Linked DNA regions of Cricetulus griseus. The protein of the gene in region 3 purifies or fractionates together with the protein of the main gene of each other region. This does not show direct contact. Links are inferred from orthologs where the notes say so. Each region holds a gene or a part of one and is shown on either strand. Other genes may lie near its edges.

Region 1 (4,953 bases), on a different chromosome or scaffold from region 3:
ATTAATGGAATGTGAACAGAGGTACTTGGTACCATTGAGATGGCCTAGGGCCAGAGTGAGGTGTTATAGGCCTGTAACCACGGCTACTTGTGAGTCTGATAGAAGATTTACTGCTGGTCTGGGCTACATAATACATTTAAAAGTACCTGGACAACATAGTGAAGCCTTGTCTCAAACAAAAGGAGAACTGGGGATATAGCTTAATGGAGTGGTTGCCTTTGAGTGCACAAGGCCCTACGTTCAGTGCCCAATAATGCCTGCCCCCTTCCCAAAGAAAGTGTCTAAGTACCTAGATCAGGCAGGGGAGTCTGAGACTAGGAGAAAGATGGACATAGAGAGGCAAAGTCAGTAGGATGTGGATTGGAGTAGCAAAGGCAAACAGGAGGAAAAACTGTTTGTTTCCAGAGACCATGCTTAGTTTTGCTTGGCTAAGTATATAGAGTCCAGGGAAATGTGGGAAAAGGAATTAAAGCTAGAAATTTAGGCTTAGGTTGGGCAGTGATGGCACATACCTTAGTCCTAGCACAGAGATCTGACTGCCTCTGCCTCCTGAGCACTGGGATTAAAGGCATGCCCAGCAACTTTTTGTTTCCCTTCCCTCTTCTACCACTCCCCCACCCACAGTCTACTCATACAGCAATTGATTTTTGTTTGTTTTTGTTTTTCAAGACAGGGTTTCTCTGTGTAGCTTTGGAGCCTATCCTGGCACTCGCTCTGGAGACTAGGCTAACCTTGAACTCACAGAGATCCGACTGCCTCTGCCTCTCAAGTGCTGGGATTAAAGGCGTGCGCCACCAATGCCCAGCCCCTGGACAGATTTTAATGTGAATCTTGAGGAACAGACTGGGATTAAAGGCGAGGGTTACCACCACCTGGCTTGACTCAAGTTCCTTTTTCTGTGTAGACTGGGCTGTCCTGGAACTCCCCCTGCAGACCAGGCTGGCCTTGTACTCACAGAGATCTGCCTGCCTCTGCCTCCTAAGTGCTGGGATTAAAGGCCGGTACCACCACACCCAGCCAAAAACAAAACAAAAGAACAACTAAAAAGACAAGATCGTTAAAAGCTCAAACTTGAGCTAGGCTGGTTTCAAATTTTTAAAATTTGTTCCTATTTTTTAAATTTTATTTTTAGTCATTTGTATGAATGCTTTGCTTACATGTATGTCTGTACCACATGCAAACCTGGTGCCAAAGAGGCCAAAAGATAGCATGATGAGCATATAGAATTAGTGTTACAGACAATTGTGAGCTACTGTAGTGGTAGTGGAATTGAACCCAGGTCTTTTTGAAGAGCTGCCAGTCCTTTAACCAGTGAACCATCATGCCAATCTCCCTGCCTTAGCCTTCAGAATTCTGGGGATCACAGACATGCATGCACCTGTACACTCGACTTTTAGAATTGTTTCTTCCTAAAGTTTTCGTGATTGATTTTTGCCTTTCCCGAGCAGCAACTGGTTTATTGTAAACAGTGAATGTAAAATTGCGCCTTCAGTTAGAATGCATCACTTCTTTTGGTGCAGCATTCATTTTCTTGTTAATAGGACTATCAAAGATCAAATCTACAGCATTTTCAGAGGCTACATAATTTGTAGTGTACCATTTACAAGGACAGGACTGCATTTAAATTCAGCACTCTCAGCTCCCGGGCGGCACTTAGCACTCACGCGCTCAATAAATGCGCAAAGTATGAATGAACTAAAGAACCGCCAGAGCCTCAGAGGGGGTCGGCCTGGGAGTTCCAAAGTTCGGGAGGGGACACGAGGGCGGGCAGTGCGCGTCACGTGACAGGGCGGAGCAAATCCCATGTGCTTCCCCAGCGCCAACGCGGCTCCGCCTTCTGCGCCGGTCACGTGGGGCGCCGGCTGCGCCTGCGGAGAAGCGGTGGCCGCCGAGCGGGATCTGTGCGGGGAGCCGGAAATGGTTGTGGACTACGTCTGTGCGGCTGCGTGGGGCTCGGCCGCGCGGACTGAAGGAGACTGAAGGTAAAGCCGCCATGTCCGGGCCCGACCCGGCCCCACCCCTCCCCCCGCATCCGCCGCCATCCGGGCCGGGGCCGCCACCCTGCGCCGCCGCCCCGGCGCCCCGGCCCGCGCCCGCGCCCAGGCCCTACTCGCCAGGCCGATCCCCGGCCCACGTGTGCCGGGCCGGGCCCGGGTGGGGGTGGGGAGCAGGGCCCGGCCGACCCGGGAGGGGAGGGCGCTGGGGCGGCGGCGCGACAGCCACCTTCGCTGGGCCGGGGACGTGGCCCGGCGCAGGCTACGCGGCGCAGACCCGCCGCCCCCTCCCCCTGCGGGGCCCGGGCGGCCGCCGGGAAGTGACACGTTGTTCTTTGGCACTGGCCGCGTTGCGCAGGGCAAGGAGGCGGCGGCGGGCAGGGAGGAGCCCCCAGCCCCGCCCGGCGGCCGACCCTCGTCTGCCCCGAGCGGCAAGGCGGCCGTCGCCGCCAGCCCTGCTGGTAGGGCCGGGCTCGTGCCCTTCCTGGCTCGTGTTCCCGGGCGGTCTCAGGCCTCTTCGGCCCCGTGCGAGTGCCCCGCGGCAGGCTCCGAACCCGGTGTCCCCGGGTGGGGGGTGGGGACACCACGGCCGAAGCAGCCGGCTTCATTTGTGATCCGGGAGCCTGGTGCCAGCGAGACCTGGAATTTCCGGTCTGGTTGGTCTTGGGCCCCGTGGAGCCAGGTTGATACCCCTCACCTCCCAACCCCAGGCCTTCGGATGCCCAGAACCTGTAGGCCGCACTGTGGACTTATTCTTAACCGAGGGGGTGAGTGAGGGGGCTGTTTGAGCAGGCAAGGGTGGGGTCGGGGTATTGCGGTGTGTTGGTGGGATCCACAGTCTGGATCACTTGTGTTTCTGCATTCCCTTGGCACCTCCCTTGATCCACGTTACTCTTAGCTCTTGATACCTTTCCCCCAGCCCATTTGCCGTAAGCTCGGGTCCTTTCCCGGTTCCGAGCTCTGTTCTTTCCAACAGGTGCTGGGGGGACCCTGATGTGGCACCAAATGAAATGAACAAAGCTCCTCAGCCCACAGGCCCCCCACCCGCCAGGTCCCCTGGACTCCCACAGGTAATCGAGGCAAAATGAGCAGAACTCTGGTTGGGGTGGAGGTCATGCAGCTCTCAGTTTTCCCACCCCCATCTGTGTCAGGGCAAAGTGCAGCTGCCTGCTGCCAAATTGAGATAGGGCCCCTGGCTGTCCCTGGGGCTGTCACAGGGAGGGAACATGTGGACTGCTGAGGCTTTTGCTGCAGGTCTGCTCCCCCTATTTCACCAGCTTGGGTTTCGGCCCCACCCAGGCTTCCCCTCTTGCTGAACTCTGGTCTCTCCCCTTCAGCCAGCGTTTCCCCCGGGGCAGACTGCACCGGTGGTGTTTAGCACGCCACAAGCGACACAAATGAACACGCCTTCTCAGCCCCGCCAGGTGAGGGGCTGTGGTTAGAGTAGGTCGCTGGGTGGGAACTGGGAAAATCTGGTTTGGGACTAGTATGGAAACTGTGGAGGCTGTGTACTTGCCCCCAATTTCCTGACAGTTGCTCTGAATTCTTTCGTGCTGTGTTAGTTATGGTGGCTCACCCTTTGTGAAGTTTGTAGTCTATGAAAGTGGCATTACTGGGTCTTCATGCCTTTGACAATTGGGGACAGTGCTGTGGGTCTTGCTGCCCGCTCTTTCCTGTGACTAGGAGGTTGCCATTGCCCTGTTCCTCTTCGCTTTCTCTTTGAACTGTGATGAGATGAACTTTCCAGCTGCGCTTTCATTTTTTTCTGTTCTCCAAGTTCTTCCCAAGTGGAAGGATTCTTTTCCTACCTACTCCACTCCCCCTAAACCCCTTCCATCACCTTGGGGATAATTGTCGTCTTTCCTGTCCCCATGTGCTCTCAGGGAGGATTCAGGTCTCTGCAGGTAATACCCCTTTCCTAATCCTGAGCAACCTCTTGGTGTTACCCCATCCTCTACCCTAGTCCATAGCTAGACACAGATGGGATATTCAGGGTGGGGCCTTGTTTGATGTTGAGGTCTTCAGTTTGAGTCCAAATACTGCATGTTAGAGGTTAACTGTTGGAGAGCAAGTATCTCAAAACTGGAAGATTGTTGCATGTAGCAGTTAATCAGTATTTGAGGTGGAATAGTGCATGCTGGGAAGTATGTTGCCCTCGAGGGCCTTACTTAAGCATGATGCATCTTGGTGTTAGGAAGACTCTAGAGGGATCATCTAGAGGTGATAGAGTATGCATGGCAGTGAGAGAGTACAGGATACAAAGTATTCATCTAAGTTTCCAGACAAGTTTTAGACCAAGAGGCCACTTAGCCATCAGTTCATGTGGGTTTTGGAAGGATTGGTCTCCATGCTCTGAAGCCTACAGTACTCTGAGATTGTATGTACATTGTGGAATGGAATGCTGATTTTAGTGTTGACTCCCTCCCCTTCTTGACCCCAACTGCTTTCCTCCTTCCTAATAGCACTTCTACCCTAGCCGGGCCCAGCCCCCGAGCAGTGCAGCCTCCAGAGTGCAGAGTGCAGCCCCTGCCCGTCCTGGCCCAGCTACCCATGTCTACCCTGCTGGATCCCAAGTAATGATGATCCCTTCCCAGATCTCCTATTCCGCCTCCCAAGGAGCCTACTATATCCCTGGACAGGTGAGGCTGGGGGCTGGAAGCCAGACCTCCTATCTGGTCTTCTAGATCCATTTCTCCTATGGAGGTGGGACTTGTAGTCATTGCCCAGGCTTAGCTTACCCTACTTACATAATCTGACGTATTCGTAGCTTTCCTCATCTCCTTCTTTTCCCTCCTCTCTCCCCAACCCCCATCAGGGGCGTTCTACGTATGTTGTCCCAACACAGCAGTACCCTGTGCAGCCAGGAGCCCCAGGCTTCTATCCGGGTGCAAGCCCTACCGAGTTTGGGACCTACGGTAAGCAGGGGTGAGAGTGCGTCCTACGGAACACTTAAGTGGTC
Region 2 (4,738 bases), about 78 Mb from region 3:
AGATTCTACACATTCGTAGAGAAGAGCGAATTCAGGGTAAGGGATGCCCCTGAAAGCAGGCTCTGTCCCTTTAAATGGGTTGTAGTCATGGGGGAGGGGAACTGACCGGAGCTGGCATTGTCCAGTTTGAACTGAGCACCGGAAGTGAAGGGGCAGGGCCAGGGCTGTGCACTGAGCCCCGGGCCATTGTCCATCTCTGACCAGGGCAGCGGCCACCCCCGGTCCACCCTCTTTATCTTCTAGTAGGGAGTTTACCTCTTCAAATGAGAAACCTCCCTATCCAGTCCTTCCACCAGCCACACTACGGGAGGGTAGCGCAATTTAGGATGGTGACTGAGAACAGGAGGGTCTGGGAACCAGAGGGTCCCGGGTACTGCAGGAAGTGCCTCCACCCACAAATCTGTTGCCCTCTGCCAGCAAGGGGTGGGACAGGACGGGACGCGGCGGACAGGATGAAAGGCCGCTAGCTATCACAGAGGGCACTCTTCCAGGGTCCCCCTTGCTCTCCCAGGAAGCTCTCTACCTGGGACCAACTTAGATGCAGGCTTGGAAGGAAGCAAAGGATTCTTAGCACAGAATCAACTAGGAGCTTGTTTCTGATTGGGACAAACCCAGCGAAACTGAGGTTGAGACTTGGAGATGGAGGCATCTAGTTGTAGTCAGAGGCAGCCGGAGTTTGAGGGGCAGCGCCTAGGTCAAGACAGATGTGCTCTGTGGGGTCTCCAGCCGCTTCGCTGCACCCCTATCCTGACTTCCTAGTGTCCAGAACTCCAGGTCTATCTAAGCACACGGGAGTGGGGGGTGAGAGCAGGTCAGCGACAAGCTGCCGGGTCAGCTCAGAGGCCTGAGGGGGAAGGGGGGAGGGGCGCTGAGGGGCTGGGGGAGGGGGAGGGCTCATCCATTTCTCCCTTGACAGGTGGTTTGTGTTTCTGATTGGACAGCGCCACCAGGCTCACACCTCCCTCCCCCAACTCTCTGGAATGTATAATTATCTGCCCGGGGGGTGGGGGTGGGGTGCGTGTGTGTGTGTGTGTGTGCGCGCGCGCGCGTGTGTGTGTGTGTGTGTGTGTGTGTGTGTGTGTGCTTGTGCGTGTGTGTGCTTGTGCGTGTGTGTGTGTGTGTGTGTGTGTGTGTAGTCACGTGGTTACAAAACTACCCCCCTCTCAGGTCCCCCACCTGTGTCTGCATTGGGTACCCATATTGAGTCCTCAAAGTGCAGGATCCCAAATTCTGGGGGTACTCAAGACTTCTAGGGCAAAAGACCCCCGTTTCCAGATGTGTGCATGTGGAGGGGGTGTCAAATCTCAAGGTTCTGGGAAGGGACACCCCAGAGGTGTCAGAGACCAGAGCGGTGGGGGAGGGCGGGAGCCAGAGCCGGAGGGAAAGGGAGGGGTAGGGAGGGAGGGGAGGGGAGGGGAGGGGGCTGCCCGCGGGGGGTTGGGTCATTGTCTTTTAGAATTTGGGAGCCTTTGAAAAGCCGTGGGCCCTCCCACCGCTATTGTGCGGGGGAAGATGTAGCAGCCTCTTCTCCGAACCACCCCTTTGCCTCCGGACTTCTCTGGGGCCAGCAGCCGCCCGACCTGGGGCCCGGGGCCACGGGCTCAGCCGACGACCATGGGCTCGGTGTCCAACCAGCAGTTTGCAGGTTCGAGCTTACGATTTAGCGGGCACACCTTAGGGTGCAGGGCGCCCACGAGCTAATTAGAAGGGAGGTGGGAAAGTGTCCCACGGACTTGCCCGCGGGACCCCAAGTCCCTGCGGCCTCCTGCTCCTTGGGGCCATCTGTGGGACAGGGAACCCTGGTGTTCCAGTGGCTTGTGCGCCAAGCCCGCGGGGGCGGAGGGAGCGAAGAGGAGGGGCCTGTCCCGCCGCGTGTGCACCGGCAACATGTTGTGGGAAGACAAGCAAAACTTTCGGGGCATCAGCATCCTCGGTGTGAGCTTGGGGCGGCAGCCAGGGCAGGTTTCTTCTTACCAGCTGTTTGGTAGCTGCCTCCTCCTGGGTGTCTATCCGCGGGCTCAACACCGAGGTCTCCCAGACGGGTACCGGAGAGGGCCCTGTGATTGCCTGGCCCCCAGCTGATCACCTGGCCCTCCCTGTCTCCAGGTGGCTGCGCCAAGGCAGCTGAGAAGGCGCCCGAGGAGGCGCCGACTGACGCGGCCCGAGCCGCAGAGGAGCCGCAGCTGCTGCACGGGGCCGGCATCTGTAAGTGGTTCAACGTGCGCATGGGGTTCGGCTTCCTGTCCATGACCGCCCGCGCCGGGGTCGCGCTCGACCCCCCGGTGGACGTCTTTGTGCACCAGGTGAGAATGATTCCGGTAACTTAGCTAGGAAAAAGGAAAACTGGGAGTTACATATATGTGCTTGGCTGATGGCCGCTCCTGTTGGATTGGAGGAGATAAAGGACCCTCATTGTGCGTCCCTATCTGCTGGGACACCCCAATTTTGAGTTTGAGTAACTACGGTGGAGCAAGGAGGAGGCACCACTGGTTACCAGCACCCCCTCCCCGCCCCCTTCCGGGAACCCCTCCGGCTTACCACGTGTCTATTACCTCTTTCCCCTGGGAAGGGAGCAGGGGGCAGGGAGGTGACCCCATGTGGCAGAAACTAAGGTTGTATTGTGCTTGCCGGTGGGGGAGGGCGAGCAGGCTGATCAGGGAAGCACATGCAGGGCCTGAGCCGGGCGCTAGCGCCTTGAGTTCTGAATGTAGTTTCCAGGGCAGGAGAGGTGGGTCATTTGCCACCCTACCCACGGGCATGAACCTGCGAGGTCAGGCTGTTCCCCCTGATTGAGTGCAGACCTCAGTCCGGTGGCCACCCAAAAAGCCAGGTCCCGTGGCCAGTATAGATTCGGCAGATCCCGGAAGGATCAATGTGTGGGCTGAAAAGCCCCCCTAGAGGGCTGGATTTCAGTTCAGGACTGGCAGGCACCTCTGCTGCCCACCAGGTCCTGCCAGGAAGGAAAACCGTAAGAGCCCAGGCCTTCATTCCTGGATGGGCCAGTCTAGGAGACTTGGGTCGGTGCAATCCCAAGTTCTCAGTTAAAGAAGGGCTGCGCAGTGGGGAGTGAAATTCAGTGTCGAGGGGGCAGGCGGTGGAAGGAGGCTGGCCTCTTGCCCTATTCTCCTCAGCTTGGCATTTATGGCCCCAGACAGCCATTGATTGCTGTCCCTAACATTCCTAACCCTAAACAAGGAAGGGAGCCTTCAGGTTTCACTGTTATTCGCCTTACCCTCTCAACATCCTATGGACGTTCAAATGGTCCCCATGCCTCGGTGGGAAGGAGGTGACTGCTGCTCCCCCTTCCAGATTTGGTGGTTAAGGCAGGACCAGGAAAGAAGAAATTGCTAATCCCTGGCCCTGGAGCTTGACACCCGGTCCGGGCAGGGAGGGGTTACTTCAGGGAGGTTAGCTTTAGGAGCTGTGGGGGAGGGGAAAGGAGGATGTGGGGATTAAGAGTTGGAGCCTCAGGGATGGCGTTCTTGAGGGGGAGGGGTAGGGAAGGAGATGCTGGATCGACTGGTTGGAGGCTAGAGACTAATGTGAAGACTGAGCCCTACCCTCCAGTCAGGGGGTTGAGCAAGGGCAACTAGGTAGATTTGGTTTGAAGGAATTTTGGGAGCAGCTCTTTGCTGTTGGTGTCATTGGCTTCTGGAACGTGTGTTTAAGAGACCCGCAGCAGCAGTACCCTTAGCTACTTTCTTGACCCCCCCCCCATCACTACCACCAGATTGCTGGTTTCTGCATGGTGGCTTTGTGCCCCCTTCTCATTTACATATGTGAACGATAACCCACAGGAAGTAATTGTGAGTGAGAAGGGAATTGACCCCTTTGGATCTATTAAGTCACTTTATTACAGGAACCAGCTTTGAATGGCTCTCCTGCTTCCCCCACTCTCCCATTTATCTGATCACAGAGATTAAAATCTTTCCTGGTCTGGAGATGGGCTGGACAGCCTTCCCAATTTTGGGAGGCTGGGATATAAAGTAGGTATAGAGCCTTCTTGACTTCTTCCAAAGGCTAAGGAGGGAGACACTAAGGAGCATGTACCCTCTGCTCTGGGGTTCCTTGGTAGTAGAACAAATTGGAGGGCTGTGCCTCAGACTTAACCTTAGGATCCATAGCAATTGGAAAGCTATAGGACGCCACTGGAGGAAAGCAACAATCTCAATACTGACCAACTTGGAGATCTATGTCCACCAGCCCAAAATTGAAGTTTTTATGTGTTGGTTTCCTGTTTTCTTTCTGTTTTTGAGACAGAATCTCACTGTCTAACTTCGGCTGGCCTGGAGTTTGCTCTGTAGACCAGACTGGCGCCTCTAACTGGAGATCTGCCTAACTCTGCCTGGATTTGGGATTAAAGGCCCATTGGCACCCATATTTGAAGAAGTTGCCTCCCTAACCACCACTCTCCCCACACTGTAGTTGGTGTGTTACCACAGCTCATGATGGTGGTTGGGCTGGTTCACACTCCAGCATAATTTAGGCTGGTAACCTGAGTTATCTCTGAGCTGGAGGTACATTGTAGATACTGGGTAATCTCTGAAACTTGTCTTCAAAAGGAGTGTTCATGAGGTAGAGAGGGAAAGAAGTCTTTAATGGAACTTCTTGTACTGGCCGTGGGTTAGGATGGGGTGGAAGGGAAGGAATTGTCTCTGGATGACATTTGTCATGCCATGGAAAGGGAGGGGATCAGGAAAAACCCTTCCAAGATTGAGGTGATAAGGTTCCCTGCACC
Region 3 (4,171 bases):
GCTGTAATCCTAGCACTTGGAAGGCTGAGATAAGAGAATCTGTGAACTCACAGCCAATCTGGGTCCACAGAGAGACCCTGCTCAAAAGATCCCTGGAAAGAACAAAGAAAAAGAAAAATATCTAGGGTACAAGTCAAAGGAAACTCTTGGGTACTCCCATACCTCTGGGTCATCTGTGTAGTCAAACATCCTGAAAATTACCCTGGGCATCGGGTACACCGAGTCTTCTGTGTGAGGTGGTGGTGTGAAAGGAGGCAGGTTGTGCTGCAGTGCTTCGCAGAGGATGCTGTCAAAGGCAAGGTAGGGTCTTAGGATGTGCCTTTCCTGCCACCGGTCCTTTTTCAATTTCTGAATCTGGGCCCACAGGCAATCTAAATACTAAAAAGAGATTTTAATATTTAATATAAACATTTTGGCTAGACAGTACAGAAAATGTCTATTCTCTAAAATACAGGACAAAATAAACTAACTTGGTATTTCATACAGTAGAAAAGAATGGCACTAAGTTTTTGTTTTTTACTTAAAAATTTAAAATTGCATTAGTGTGCATGCTCTTGCCACAAGCATTGAGATCAGAGGGCAGCTTTTGGAAGGTGTTCCTCTCCTTCCATTCTGTGGTAAGGCTGCCTCTACCCACTAAGCAGTCCATTCTCCATTTTTACTTTAGCAGCTTTTTTTCAGTAGAACATTTGGGGTGACTGCGTCTGCTATTTTTAAAATTGAGTATTTAGATATAAAATGTGTCAAGTGTGTGGACACTGGTATTCTAAAAAGCAAGGGGCTGTTTCAATTATACTCAAACATATATTAAATATCTCCTCTATGCTTAAGAATCTGAGGAAATTAATTCCTCACTGGAAATATTTAAAAACCTAGCTAAGATACACAAACGCAATAGTTTGAGTAAAACTGCAGTTTTACTTATTTGTGTGGCACATGGGGCATAGGGCACTCTCAGAGGTCAGAGGACAACTTATAGGAATCAGTTTCCTCCTTCTACCCGTGGGTCCTGGGAACTGAATTCAGGTTGACAGGGTTGGTGATATAGTTTGGGCATGTTACAGAGGTAAGATCTACTCAAAAGCTGTGCAAGTAACACAGGATGGAAAACAATTCACCTCTTCTTGTGGATGTGGCTTATCGGCAGTCCATACTTGTAGCATGGGCACATGAGTCTTCTGGCGTCGTCTAAGAGTAAAAATGAAAATCTACACTTAGGCTTTAGAAAAATAAAAGACACTCCATGGTTTTCACGTATTAATTAAAAGAATGAAAAACATTTTCATCCATCAGATCAGCAGATAGCAACATTTTTGATAATAGTCTATTTGTCATCAAGATAACAGCACATCTGTATCTCAAACACTGGTGACAGAGGGGTTAATTGGTACAATCTGGAAGAATATGTCTATGGAAGACAATGTGACCATTTCTGTCAAAATTTTAGTTGTTCTGAATCTTCACCCAACTCCATTCCTATGAATTCATATCCCCATAAATACACACAGACATACACACAATATATATATACATATATATTATATATAATAATATTCCCTGATACTTATTTAAGGTAAAAGGAGACTGCACAAACTAAATATCCACAGAGAACTAATTTATTATACTAATAAAGAAAACCATTAAAAAAACACAACACAACAATACCATGGTACTGTTAATAAACCCAATCAGATGGAATCGTTTGAACCTCTTCCACTCGATTTAGATGCCTGGGCAGAGGTATAATTTTAAGTGCTATAGGTGACCTTTAAGCATAAACATATGAACACTAGAACACTAGTGGAACTACTACACCATGGTGTTCTACGCCTTTCACAACAACATGAAAACTGCTTAGCACACATGATACCAACTTCTTACATTAGCAAAGTACTGGGATCTTAATGAATTATGGCAGCAGGAGAATGAAATTTAATAGAGGACTTTTTCAGAAGCTTTAAGGTTTTGTTTTTTAAAAAATGGAACTGAAAGAAAACTGAAGACATTTATCCTATCAGCAGGATATCTTTATGTGAACAACAAAGAACATGCGAGCTGTGCCCTTACTTAAGATAACTTTCAGTGTTGGAGAAGATTCGGTCCATTTCTGCATCTTTCTTTTCATATAACTCTTTTCCAACCCAAGGCAAAGATGACAGAAATGCATACACATACCAATCCCGTCGCACCTGAAGAAAGGTTAAAAAGGTAAGTAAAAAAAAAAAAAAAATCAAAACCAAAAACATGCTAGTTAGCTTTATTTATTTATTCTCTTATTATTTATTCTTTCCAGTGTCAAGGATCAAGTTCAATTCTTACAGATGCTAAGCAAGCATTCTACAAGTGAGCTATACAACTCTCCAGGCCAATCTTTTTTAGTCGAAAATGCAATCCTGGGGAGGCTTTTCAATAAGGCTTAAATAAACTATCTGGCTCATCTAGAGGATTTCTAGATATACAGTTCTACTAATCTTTTTTTAAAAAAAGATTTTATTTATTATGTATACAACATTCTGCTTCCATGTATATTTCCACATCAGAAGAGGGCACCAGATCTCATTACAGATGGCTGTGAGCCACCATGTGGTTGCTGGGAATTGAACTCAGGACCTCTGGGAGAGCAGCCAGTGCTCTTAACCTCTGAGTCATCTCTCCAGCCCTACAGTTCTAATCTTATTAAAATCATCTGAACTAACACAATGATGTCAAGAGAACCCACCAATAAGCCAGTTAGTTGATTTGCCCTTCAGGTATTAAGCACTACAGTGTGATAATCTGTTATTGTATTTTGTTTATTGCTGCTAAAGAGTTATCAGTAGGGAAAAAAATCTGGTACAGTACTTTACAGAAAAGATTCAACATAAAGGTGTCTTACTTGAGGCACATCTTCTTCCTGAGTCACACTTACAAAATTCTCAAACATAGCAACCATAGATGGGGCAGCAATCACATGACAATTCACAAGATCAGATAGAAAACGGACCTGTGAGGGCAAAGGATATCTGTATTAACCTAATAGTCTTTCATAATAGTCACAAAATAAAGCCCATGTCTGTATTTAGCTTATTATCTTTTCGTTTGCGCAACCTGTGAGCCAAGAAGTCTCTAAATTTAATGTTCAAAACAAAGTAATATTCACACAAAATGACATGAATTCAAATTTCAGTGTGCATAACCATGCTTGCAGTAGAAGACAGTTCACACCCATTCAGCCACTTATTGACCCATGCTTCTGTGATACAATGGTGAAATTGGGTAGCTGTACTAAAGATCTTATGCTGGACAGGTATCTGTGACTTTGTGGGTTTCCATGCTATGCTACATTAAGCACCTGGACAGCCAGATATTCTAGTTATTCCATTCTACTGAAGTAGGTTGGTCTTTTTGTTTGGCTAGGAATAATTTTTACTGAAATATAAAAATGGAAAATTTAAGTAAAAGAGATATTGACTACGTGCCAAGACTATATAAGCACTATTTAAGGTACTGTTTAAGGGAACTTAATAGCAGATTTGGGACAAACACAATCTCAACAAAAAGGGATGGCTCCTGCACTAAAAGGTAAGTTAAAAAGTGCCCTTGGGACCAGTGACATCGGTAACAAGGGAAAAAGTGTAAGGAGAAAGCAACTGGGCAAGGTTATAAAGCGTGAGCAAAGCCCTCAGTGGGGAGCAGGGAAGGCATTCTTGGCACAGGGTTGTGCAGGTAACTACATAGCTGCAGGGTATACAGGGGACAAGAGAAAGCAACCAGACTGGGGCAATCATGAAAGATGAAGACTTTAATCCTATATCCTGACAGGTGTCCAAAATTTTCTGAATTTGTCTTCAATAAAAAAGATTGTGATCAAATGATTTTCAACATGTAGGTACTTACTTATGGTAAGTACTGGATTACTACCAATCTATGTATTAGGTATTAGTAAGACTTAATTAAGTCTTTTATTCAAGACACACAAAGGTTCTACGTTGCAGAAAGAACCTAAGAACCAGAGGTTGGGGAGGAGTCTGCAAAAATGCTATCCTCTGGACAGGATATGACCACAGCACTAAAAACCTCACAGCAGCTACAGACAGGTCAACATTCCTTCATGGACAGGGATGGAGTTCATGAGGCCCCAACCCTTTCCTGAGGAGCTACTGGTAGTTAAAAGTTTCTGGGCAAGGAGGTA
Region 4 (4,668 bases), on a different chromosome or scaffold from region 3:
CAGCAATAGTACTTGCCTAGTATGTACAAGGCTTCTAGGTTCATCTACCAATAAGGAAAAACTTAAATATTTCATTATACTATATAGCTTCAGTTTGGGGATTTTTTAGATATTTTTAAGTGTGTGTGTGTGTGTGTGTGTGTGTGTGTGTGTGTGTGTAAAATACAGGTATTTGAAGAGGTGAGAGGTATTAGATCCCCAGGAGCTGGAGTTACAGGTAACTGAACCATCAGGTGTGGGTTTTGAGAAGTGAACTCAAGTCCTCTAGAAGCACAGTAAGCCCTCCTAACCTTCTGAGACGTCTCTCCAATCTATATAGCTGTAATTTTCTTTTGACTTTTGTTGTTTTCTTTGAGAAAAGGGTTCACTATGTAACCCCTGCTGCCCTCAAACTCATGGGACTCCTCCCTCATCTTCCCAAGTGCTAGGATTACAGGTGTTAGCCACCACAGCCAACTATGCCATCCAACTTTAAATTCTCAGCTAGTATAGTGGTACATGCCTATAATCTTAGCACCCAGAAGAGGATTATAAATTCAAGGTCAGCATGGGCTACAAGGTCACTATATCAAAAAAATGAGATAAATCCTCTTAATATAACAGAAATGATATATAATCATTAAGCTGATCACACTGATTCAAATCTACTATAATTCAAACCACATTCCACAAGCTATGCAATAAAACACAAACATGGATATCCTAAGTTCAGTTTTAAGTAGCTCTTTTAACACTAGGTAGCATGGAACATGTAAAAATACATAAACTCAAAATTACATTTTAACTAGATATTCTTGCCTTCACATACACTTAAAGTTTTTCTCCAAACATAACCCGTCAGAAGCAAAGCAGACACAACTCGTCCTATTCCTAATATTCATTTTAAGGTGGAAGCAAAATTAAACTGTTAAAAAAAAAAACAGCTAGGCCTGTGGTTGTAGCTCATTGATGGAGCACTTACTACCAAACACACACACACACACACACACACACACACACAATCCACCTGCAGGAGGAAGCTGAGCCACCTACAAAAATGACCGTCCATAATGAATACATAGGTTTTAGACAGTAAACAACGATGAACTGGATTATTTGTTTGGGGAGGATTACCCCCAAATATAGGATGGTTTACTTGAGTTGCTTCCCATTCTGCCTTCTCAGCACGCAAGGCACCTGACAGGTATTTATTAAATAGCACATAAAAATTAAAAATGCTTATCTTACATGTGAGACATACATACCTGTGAGTTAACAAAACCCTAGGGCACTATAAACACTTGCTAGAGGAGATGTTGAACCAATAAATAAATAAATAAATAAATAAATAAATAAAATAAGAGACAGCATCGCTTTTCTTCAAGAACCTCTGAATTTATTGGCATACAAGAGTAAATACACATGAAGCCAGAGGCCAATTAATTGCTAACCAAAGAGGTAAAGCCTATAAGTGCAAGAGTTGTCCCGAGAAGTTTAAATATCTAAAAGCTGGAATAATATTAGTTTTAATAGCTATCACTTGAGCACTTACTATAAGCCAAGTGCTTTCTAGAGTAGCGTGCTTACTATTCCCAGTTTACTCAAGGGAAAACAGTCAAAGTGGTTAAGAATTTACCAAGGTCACTCAGCTAGTTAAGTGGGCTAAGCTAGCCGCTTATTCCCACAATCCAATTCTAGGACTCACACTGTTAAGTTTCATGGAACAGCAAAGGGAGCTGTCGGCGGGAGTTAAGTCATTTTACAAGAGTACCAGCCTGCAATGCATGTCTGGTGCTTCGTGCTTCGCTTGAAGTAACAAAGTTTCGAAAGATTCCTGTCTTCTCGCTATCAATCGGGAACCTGACACTGGATCGGAGTGGAGGAGTGGCGGGAGACAACCCAAACAGCTAAAAAGAATTCATCTCACTCAAGATGGACTGCTAAGCTTCGAACGCGATTCAGAAGAATAAATCAGAACTTTTTTTTTTCTTTTTCAAATCTATGGTCAATTTTACTATTTAAACGGGGAGTGGGGGTGGGGTGGCTATTTGGGGAGAGAAAACCTCTACCGTGACAAATTACCAGGAAGGGGGGGGGTCCAAAATAAGTTTCTAAGACTTAAAGGAAAGAAAATATCCTAAAGTACTAAAAAAAAAAAAAAAAAAGCTTCGAGGGGGAACCAGAATGAGCGAGCGTCCCACGCCAAAACGGGGGTTTCATCAACACTTGATGATGAAAAGTTGGATCCAACCCGAAACCATCGGAGGTGACATGCCGGTAGGGACTTGGCAAAAGCGGCAATCCCTGCCACACTCCCCCCCACCACCACCACCAAGGACCGCAGGGCCAGGACAGTGCAAGCTGGAGCTCCCCAAGAAACCAGAGGTGCTAAGCCGGGCTGTCCCCAACGCTCCGTGCTCCTCAGCCGCTGGCGCCTAGAACGGGAGAAGAGTTCGGGACAGTTCGCCCTCCTCAGACTTCGGGCACAGGAGAGGCCGGGCGCCAAACTGCGGGAGCCGCTTTAGGGGCAGAGTGATGAAATGGGACAGAGAGAAAAAAACAAAAAACAAAAAAAAAAAAACAAAACAAAACAACAAAAAAAAAAAAACTGTCAAGTCCGGACCCAACGGTCCCCGGGCGCGAACCCACGGCCAGAAAAGCAGCCGAAGTGAGCGGAGTTAAAAACGAAAGAGACAGGACAAAAAGAGACAGCGGGAGCACAGGGGGACCCGAGGGGGACAAGACGGAAGTTCGCCTTAAGAGACTATAAAGGAAGCCAGGCTCCGCTGGAGCGCCGGGCTGTCGGGGAGGTCGGGGAAGGGAGGCGCTCGGCGGAGGCTACCGGCTCCGCTCGTCCCACAGTTCGAAACTCCTAAAGAACCATCCCCAATCGCCGCCCGGGTGGGGGAGGGGGCGCCGCTCCTCCCCCCCCCGGCCCCTGTACCCCACTTCCGAAGGTGGCCAACGCCCCGGCCTCCGGCTCCCGCAGCGCCCGCCCCAGGCCCGAACACTCACAAATCGCCTCTCCCTGATTTCTCCCAATTCTTTATCCACTCTGCGGGAACCACCACAGTCGCGGCCGCCATCTTCCCCTCGCTAGTAACAGTGGCCCGGATGTGTAGCGAGCGAGCCAGAGGTCAAAGGGGAGCCCCGCCCACTGGGAGTGACGGAAGCTGGGAGTTCGCGTTTAGATTTCCCGCCCCACCTACCTCCCCACCCAGCGGAAGCCCCGGGCCTTGCTGACAAAGAGGTAGCAGGCGCTGGAGGTCCCTTTCGCTAATACCTGCCCGGACCGCGCCCTCGACACAGTCTTCGCGTTTTATTGCCCCTCTGGAATTAAAAAAATAAAAATAAAAACAAAATGCCAGCCCGGGACCGCGTGTAGCCTTTACGATCTCCTGTAATATCTACCCCAAGCCGTTAATTCAAACGCATAATTTTTCAAGCTCTCTGTATGTTAGGCTTAGAAGATACGGAAACTGTAAGCCCTGAATGACATGACCCTCTGGAAAACAGGAACATGAGATAAGAAATAGCTCAACTAACTACTGGTAGAAAACTGTCACGGAGAGGGCAGCGATACGTGCGATGACAAGTAACATGCTCTCATAATGGATAAAAGGTGGCCCCGGGAAACACGTGATGCCTCAATTCTTACTCCTTACTTTAGCTGTCAAACTAACAAGCATTAGTACTATGAGAAACGATTTTTTACAGTCTCAAAATCTCTCCACAAAATACTTGTTATTACAAAGGAAAAACGTTCCCGGAGGAAAATATGGAAGATACCACCCTGTGTTGGTGAAAAACAAATTTTGCCAGAGTTGGAGCTGGAGCTCGAGTCTAGTGCACTTGCCTACATTGCACCAGGCACTGGTCTGGAACCTCACCACTGGGGGAAAAAAGACTAAAGTATCTCAGAAATATGACACGTGAACCAGACAGGGAATTACAACACTCAGGAACCTGAGGCAGGAGCATAGCTACTTCCCACCAGCCTAAAAATAGGCAAGGTGGGCAAGTGAGCTAGAAGAAATGGACACCATGGGACTTCCAATGGTGTGCCAGAAAAAAAAAAAAAAAAACACTAAGCAACTTTTTGGATTTCTTTTTTTTTCGAGACAGGGTTTCTCTGTGGCTTTGGAGGCTGTCCTGGAACTAGCTCTTGTAGACCAGGCTGGACTCGAATTCACAGAGATCTGCCTGCCTCTGCCTCCCGAGTGCTGGGATTAAAGGCGTGTGCCACCACTGCCCAGGTGGGAATTGTTAATGTCCAAATTTCACATGTTAATTTGATATTGTAGGAGTGGGAGACATACCCATCCTTGAGGGACCATCTACAACATCGCTGACTTGCACTCTTCAAAATTGTCAAGCTCATAGAAGATAGTAATCCTTCAAGATTTATGAAGACTGGAGGCAGAAGCAGAAGGATCTCTGTGAGTTCAAGGCCAGCCTCATCTACATAGCAAGCTCCAGGCCAGCCAAGGTTATATACTGAGACTATCTCAAAAAAAGATTAATGGAGACAAGAAATATAAGAGATGCCCTCCCCTCCCCCCCAAAAAATCATTTTTTTTCTTTTGCAATAAAGGGTATTACTGAATAGAGATGTACTGGTTGGACGGGGGGGGGGGGGGCAGGTGGGCATGAGAAATTGAGGTATCGGTTTGTGGTGTGTAGAGGGCA
Region 5 (4,620 bases), on a different chromosome or scaffold from region 3:
TTTGTTTGTTTGTTTTTTGTTTTTCGAGACAGGGCTTCTCTGTGTAGCTTTGGAGACACACCTCTTTTTCACCTGTGATGTTATTCACTAATTTTTCATCTGCCCATCTCAAGTTTGATATATATTTCCTGTAAGATCCATCACTTCATTTTGTCTCTCCAAAGCTCTCTTATGAAGTCACTCTTGATGAATGTCTACAAGATCTCTTTACAACCCTGTCCACTCACTCACAACCCTTCACATAAGTAAGGTTGCCTTCTTATTTTCCTTGTTTACCAGCTGACTGCATAAACTGGGACTTTTCAATTAATACTTAATAAAATTCCAAATGCCTCCCACCTTCTCCGGCCCTTACCCTTCCCCAACTACAACCCTTCATTCACTTATTTTTTAGGTAGGGTATCATGTAGCCCAAGATGACCTTGACCTCCTAACACTCTGCCTCCCAGTTCCAAGTGCTGGAATTACTGAATGTGCGCCCAGACTTCTCTGACTCTTCAGGATCAGTTCATCCCCATTCATCTATTAGGAATCAACAGATCTCACTGCTGTTTGGAAGTCAACACTCCTGATCCAGTGTAGGTTTTTCTCACACACTGACTATAAGCTCAAGCCAAACTGAATCTTAGGTCCTTTTGTATGAAGAAGGCTGAGCATTATAGGCACCTAATAGTCATTTAGAAAATGAATGCTCAGACATGACCAGCACATTACATGGATGCTGACATTCTGTGTCAAAGTACTTTTTTCCCTGATAAAGTAAAGACAATGTCACACCTAACTAGTAAGGATTAAATGAGGTAGCAAACTTTTGGTACAACATAGTGTCTGACACAAAGAACTACCATCTGAATGCCTGTTGTTTCATGTCTTAGTTATCCTAACATGTCCTTAAAATGTAATGTTGTGAACAAAATCAATGGCTTGGCAACTATACTGTTCTTTTCATGCAAGTACCTGCTGTGGATCTATTCCATGAAAAAGTCCTTATTAGGTATCATTAAACAAATAGGACACCATACTAGAAGTGAATTGTGACTAAAACTTACACCAACATCCAGAAAAGTAAAGAATGTACAAGCAATAGGAGCAATACATCCACACAAACTATGCAGTTTTGCTTACAGTAATAAAAGATAGCCTCAAGAAAAATTACTTGTGGAACTGGGTGTGGTAGCCCATGCCTGTAATCCCAGCACTTGGGAGACTGAGGCAGGAGAATTATTTTGTGTGTTTGACCAGACTGCTCTGCAATGAGGTCCTGTCTCAAAAAGGAAACAAACAACAACAACAACAACAAAAAGCAACAGAGACTACTGGTGTAACACTCACACACACACACACACACAGAAAAACTACTGGTGAAGAAAAGATAAAAACCAAGTCTTATTAAAAAATAGAGACTGATGGCTGTTCCAGTTGTTAGCTTTCACTTTTGTTTGGAAGTACTTCTCCAAAAGGAAACTTAGATGTGATCAGGATAGAGATAAAGGACCTGTAGTCTCACTCAAATGGGAATTCCACAGATATTCCCCCAGGTTTTTCCCAATTCATACCTAATTTTGTAGCTCTGAGAAATGTCCCAGCTTCACCTGCTTCTCTACTAAACCAAACTCTGTATTTACTAGCCTCTTACCAAAAATTACAGGACTATACAAACCATCACCTACTATTAGAATAGAAAAGAGGGTATAGGCTTAAAACTCCTTCCCCCCTCAAATTCAGAGGTCGAGTTCCAGTGAAGTTTGTGCTATTACACTTCATTGGTTTTAGTAGGAGCAGAGAGACCTCTAGCGCTACCTCAATAAGCAGAGTTTGCAAATAGTAGCTGCTAATGTCACCTTAATGAGACAATGGCAACATGCTGAGTAGCAGCGAACTGAGTGACCACAATGAATGTTTACAGTTTTGCAACCACTTGGAAAATCTACCAGCCTGGTGGCATGTGGTATACACAAGGACGTAGGAATCTATGTATGCAATTTATTTCGGCAAAACAGGTCAAAGAAATTGTTTTCCTACTATTCACGCTCCCACTCCAAGATGAGCTTTTTTTAAAAAAAGAAAGAAAGAAAGAAAAAACCCAAGATCAGAGGTCTGCATAATCTCCTTCCCAAAGCTTCAACACAATGGATGGTAAACTATTGTCCACCTTTAGCTCGCTCCAAATGCCAGCAGTCACAGGGGTTATGAGCTGCAACAGCTCGGGAAGACTGGTCCAAAGGACAGCACTGGAATATAAGAAAATGGTCTTGGCGCATCCTACCCTCCCCCATCCACCACCCTCAAACAAGTCAGTTACCCGGCTGGTCCCCACCCCCCTCTAAGGGCTGCCACCGCCCGCCTGGGCCCGGCTCGCACAAGGTAGGCGCGGGGACTGAGGCTCCATGTGCAGCAGCGCGGGAGGCTGCACCGGCTGAGGACGCGAGCGCCGGCCGGGCCCCAGCGGTGCGGTCGGCACGCGGGGCGGCAGCATCCCGGTCCGTCCTCCCGCGCGGCCCGCGGACCCCGCCTCGGCTCCACATCCCTTCCCCTCCGACAGCAGGCCGCGCCCGCGCGGCGGCGCCGAGCGCCCAGCGGTCCCCGGTGCCCGCGTTGGCCGCTCAGGAGGCGGCTGCAGCCCGGGCCGCGGCGCCCCCCGAGGCGGCGGCCAACTCCGGACTGACCGCCAGCCGGCGAGAGCCAGCGGCCACGGGCCCCCGCCCCTCCCCTCCCCTCCTCTCCCGGCCGCCCGGCCCGGCCAGACTCGGAGCACACTCGCCTCCACATCGCGGCCCTTGTTCTTGAAGCTCTTGATGCGGTGGTTCTCCAAGCCGGGGTTCTCGGCCATGGCTGCGCGCGGCTCCGGCGGCGGCTGCTCCTGCGGCGGCGGCGGCGGGGCGGCGGCGAGTCGAGCGGGAGGGGACGGAGGGGGAGGAGCGCGCGCTCCGTGACGCCCGGAGCGCGAGGTGGCCGCGGCGCGGGGGCGGCGCTGAGGAGCGGCGCGCGCCGGGAGAGGCCGGGGCGCTGGCCTGCTGGCTGTCGCGGTGACCCTGCCCTCACCCCACCGTAGAGCCTCCCGACCGCCGCTAGTCATGTGCTAGAAATGGAGCCCGACCTAGCAGCTTTTACCACCACCCCTGACGCGGGGCGGCGGGCGGAAACTACAGTTCCCAGCATGCCAGGCGCTGGTCTGAGCCACGCCATGAGAGGACGAGAAGCATGCCGGGAGGGCTGGGCGCGCGCTTTCGGCGCGGCGCTTTCTGAGCGCGGGCTCGAAGCCCCGCCTCTGGGCGGGGTGGTGGGCAGGACATCTCCGGAGATGGCACCTTGCGGCCTATCGGGAGCGAGAGGCGGGGCTCCTGGGGGCGCACCTTGCTCCCTACAGCTTGGAAAATTAGAAAAAGAACGGCCACGCGTGCTCTGCGCTTTTGGCTTCTTTGGGGTCTCCTCAAATAGCAACCACCCTCAAACTCTGTTCTCTTGCTCTGCCTCGGTGTTATAAATAGCATGCTTGTTTCCACTCCACAGATACATGTGAATGTGATGTGTGTGTTTATGCTTATGCTACCTTGCTCCCTGCACCGTTATTAAGCTCAATGAGTGCAGAGACTTTGTTGGTCTCAAGAATCTGTCAGGTCAGCACAGTACCTACTAAGTTCTCATCGATAAAAGAAAATAATAGCGTTCCAGCATGCCCTGATTTCTCCCAAGCATCCTTGTGCAATCGTCACTTTGGCAGCTCTACCTTCCTGTGCCCCCATGGCTCCTAGTCCACCTTAACACACAATCTAGCCTTCAGGCTGTAATCAGGCCCTGGGGCTGCAGACTCCAGCCTGCCTTCTCCCTTTAAAGTCATAGAAGAAATAACAGAGAGAGGTTGGAACAATAACAGCTTTTATTCACCCCACCCCACCCCACCCCACCCCACCCACCCACCCCACCCCCGGGCAGGTGGACTTGGTTTATATATAAGAATATTGCGTTTCTGTATCTTCTGCAGATATAAGCTTGTATGCAGTTGTACTACATATGATCAAAATGAGCCAGGTCAGATTGGTAGAAATATACCATAAAGAATTCAGTTAAGACAATCTTCAAAAGAAATCTGGAAGAACCTGAGGTCTGAGTTAGGAACTGAAAGGCCTTTGGTGGCCAAGCTGTCACCTGCATTTGTTTTGTGAGTCACTGGTTGTGGTCAGTTGGTAACTACAAGTCCATGAAAGGTCTTACACCATCTTTGCCCTGTTGAAGTATGGTCGGTCTACTGATGCCAGTAGTGCTTTCTCATGGAAAACAAAAAGTTGCACTCTTTTTTCTCTATTTTATTTTTTTTAACTATCTTAATTGTACCCCTTCCCCTCCCCCTTTTCTTTCTTTTTCTTTTTTAATTAATTTACATTTTTCTCTAGACTTCAAGCCCTCAGCGTGTCCTTTGAATCTGGTCAAATGACTCATTTGAAGAAGATAAAACAAAATAAGGGGGGGAAGGCTATCACTTATCAGTCTTCGTTAGTAGAACTTTTTTGTTTACCACTGGTAATTGACTGGAAGAATTATGTGCACTGTTGCTCAGTTTCCTTTATACTTTGCCAGGTATTCTTTTGTGAGATTGCTTTATCCTCTCTGCCACCTCTTTTT

Evidence for each region. The genes of interacting proteins can lie anywhere in the genome.
Region 1: the proteins of Ncbp1 (region 3) and Eif4g1 purify together in Homo sapiens (affinity purification with western blotting; 3 studies listed by BioGRID and IntAct, with this or other methods). This does not show direct contact. The link is inferred for Cricetulus griseus from reciprocal best matches to the Homo sapiens genes NCBP1 and EIF4G1.
Region 2: the proteins of Ncbp1 (region 3) and Lin28a purify together in Homo sapiens (affinity purification with mass spectrometry; 3 studies listed by BioGRID and IntAct, with this or other methods). This does not show direct contact. The link is inferred for Cricetulus griseus from reciprocal best matches to the Homo sapiens genes NCBP1 and LIN28A.
Region 4: the proteins of Ncbp1 (region 3) and Thoc2 purify together in Homo sapiens (affinity purification with western blotting; 3 studies listed by BioGRID and IntAct, with this or other methods). This does not show direct contact. The link is inferred for Cricetulus griseus from reciprocal best matches to the Homo sapiens genes NCBP1 and THOC2.
Region 5: the proteins of Ncbp1 (region 3) and Kpna3 purify together in Homo sapiens (co-immunoprecipitation; 3 studies listed by BioGRID and IntAct, with this or other methods). This does not show direct contact. The link is inferred for Cricetulus griseus from reciprocal best matches to the Homo sapiens genes NCBP1 and KPNA3.

Annotation. Positions count from the first base shown.
Region 1 is NC_048597.1:67,976,849-67,981,801, reverse strand, and holds the start of Eif4g1 (eukaryotic translation initiation factor 4 gamma 1), read left to right. Parts: upstream 1-1,829; 5' UTR 1,830-1,982; intron 1,983-2,704; 5' UTR 2,705-2,761; intron 2,762-2,970; 5' UTR 2,971-3,004; coding exon 3,005-3,064; intron 3,065-3,331; coding exon 3,332-3,418; intron 3,419-4,456; coding exon 4,457-4,633; intron 4,634-4,809; coding exon 4,810-4,909; intron 4,910-4,953.
Region 2 is NC_048595.1:19,275,897-19,280,634, forward strand, and holds the start of Lin28a (protein lin-28 homolog A), read left to right. Parts: upstream 1-1,614; coding exon 1,615-1,645; intron 1,646-2,106; coding exon 2,107-2,303; intron 2,304-4,738. UniProt on the Homo sapiens protein: RNA-binding protein that inhibits processing of pre-let-7 miRNAs and regulates translation of mRNAs that control developmental timing, pluripotency and metabolism.
Region 3 is NC_048595.1:97,274,701-97,278,871, forward strand, and holds part of Ncbp1 (nuclear cap-binding protein subunit 1), read right to left. Parts: intron 2,984-4,171; coding exon 2,876-2,983; intron 2,190-2,875; coding exon 2,068-2,189; intron 1,189-2,067; coding exon 1,119-1,188; intron 379-1,118; coding exon 163-378; intron 1-162. UniProt on the Homo sapiens protein: Component of the cap-binding complex (CBC), which binds cotranscriptionally to the 5'-cap of pre-mRNAs and is involved in various processes such as pre-mRNA splicing, translation regulation, nonsense-mediated mRNA decay, RNA-mediated gene silencing (RNAi) by microRNAs (miRNAs) and mRNA export.
Region 4 is NC_048604.1:26,077,688-26,082,355, reverse strand, and holds the start of Thoc2 (THO complex subunit 2), read right to left. Parts: upstream 3,125-4,668; 5' UTR 3,066-3,124; coding exon 2,995-3,065; intron 1-2,994. UniProt on the Homo sapiens protein: Component of the THO subcomplex of the TREX complex which is thought to couple mRNA transcription, processing and nuclear export, and which specifically associates with spliced mRNA and not with unspliced pre-mRNA.
Region 5 is NW_023276807.1:216,452,418-216,457,037, forward strand, and holds the start of Kpna3 (importin subunit alpha-4), read right to left. Parts: upstream 3,125-4,620; 5' UTR 3,077-3,124; coding exon 2,762-3,076; intron 1-2,761. UniProt on the Homo sapiens protein: Functions in nuclear protein import as an adapter protein for nuclear receptor KPNB1. Binds specifically and directly to substrates containing either a simple or bipartite NLS motif.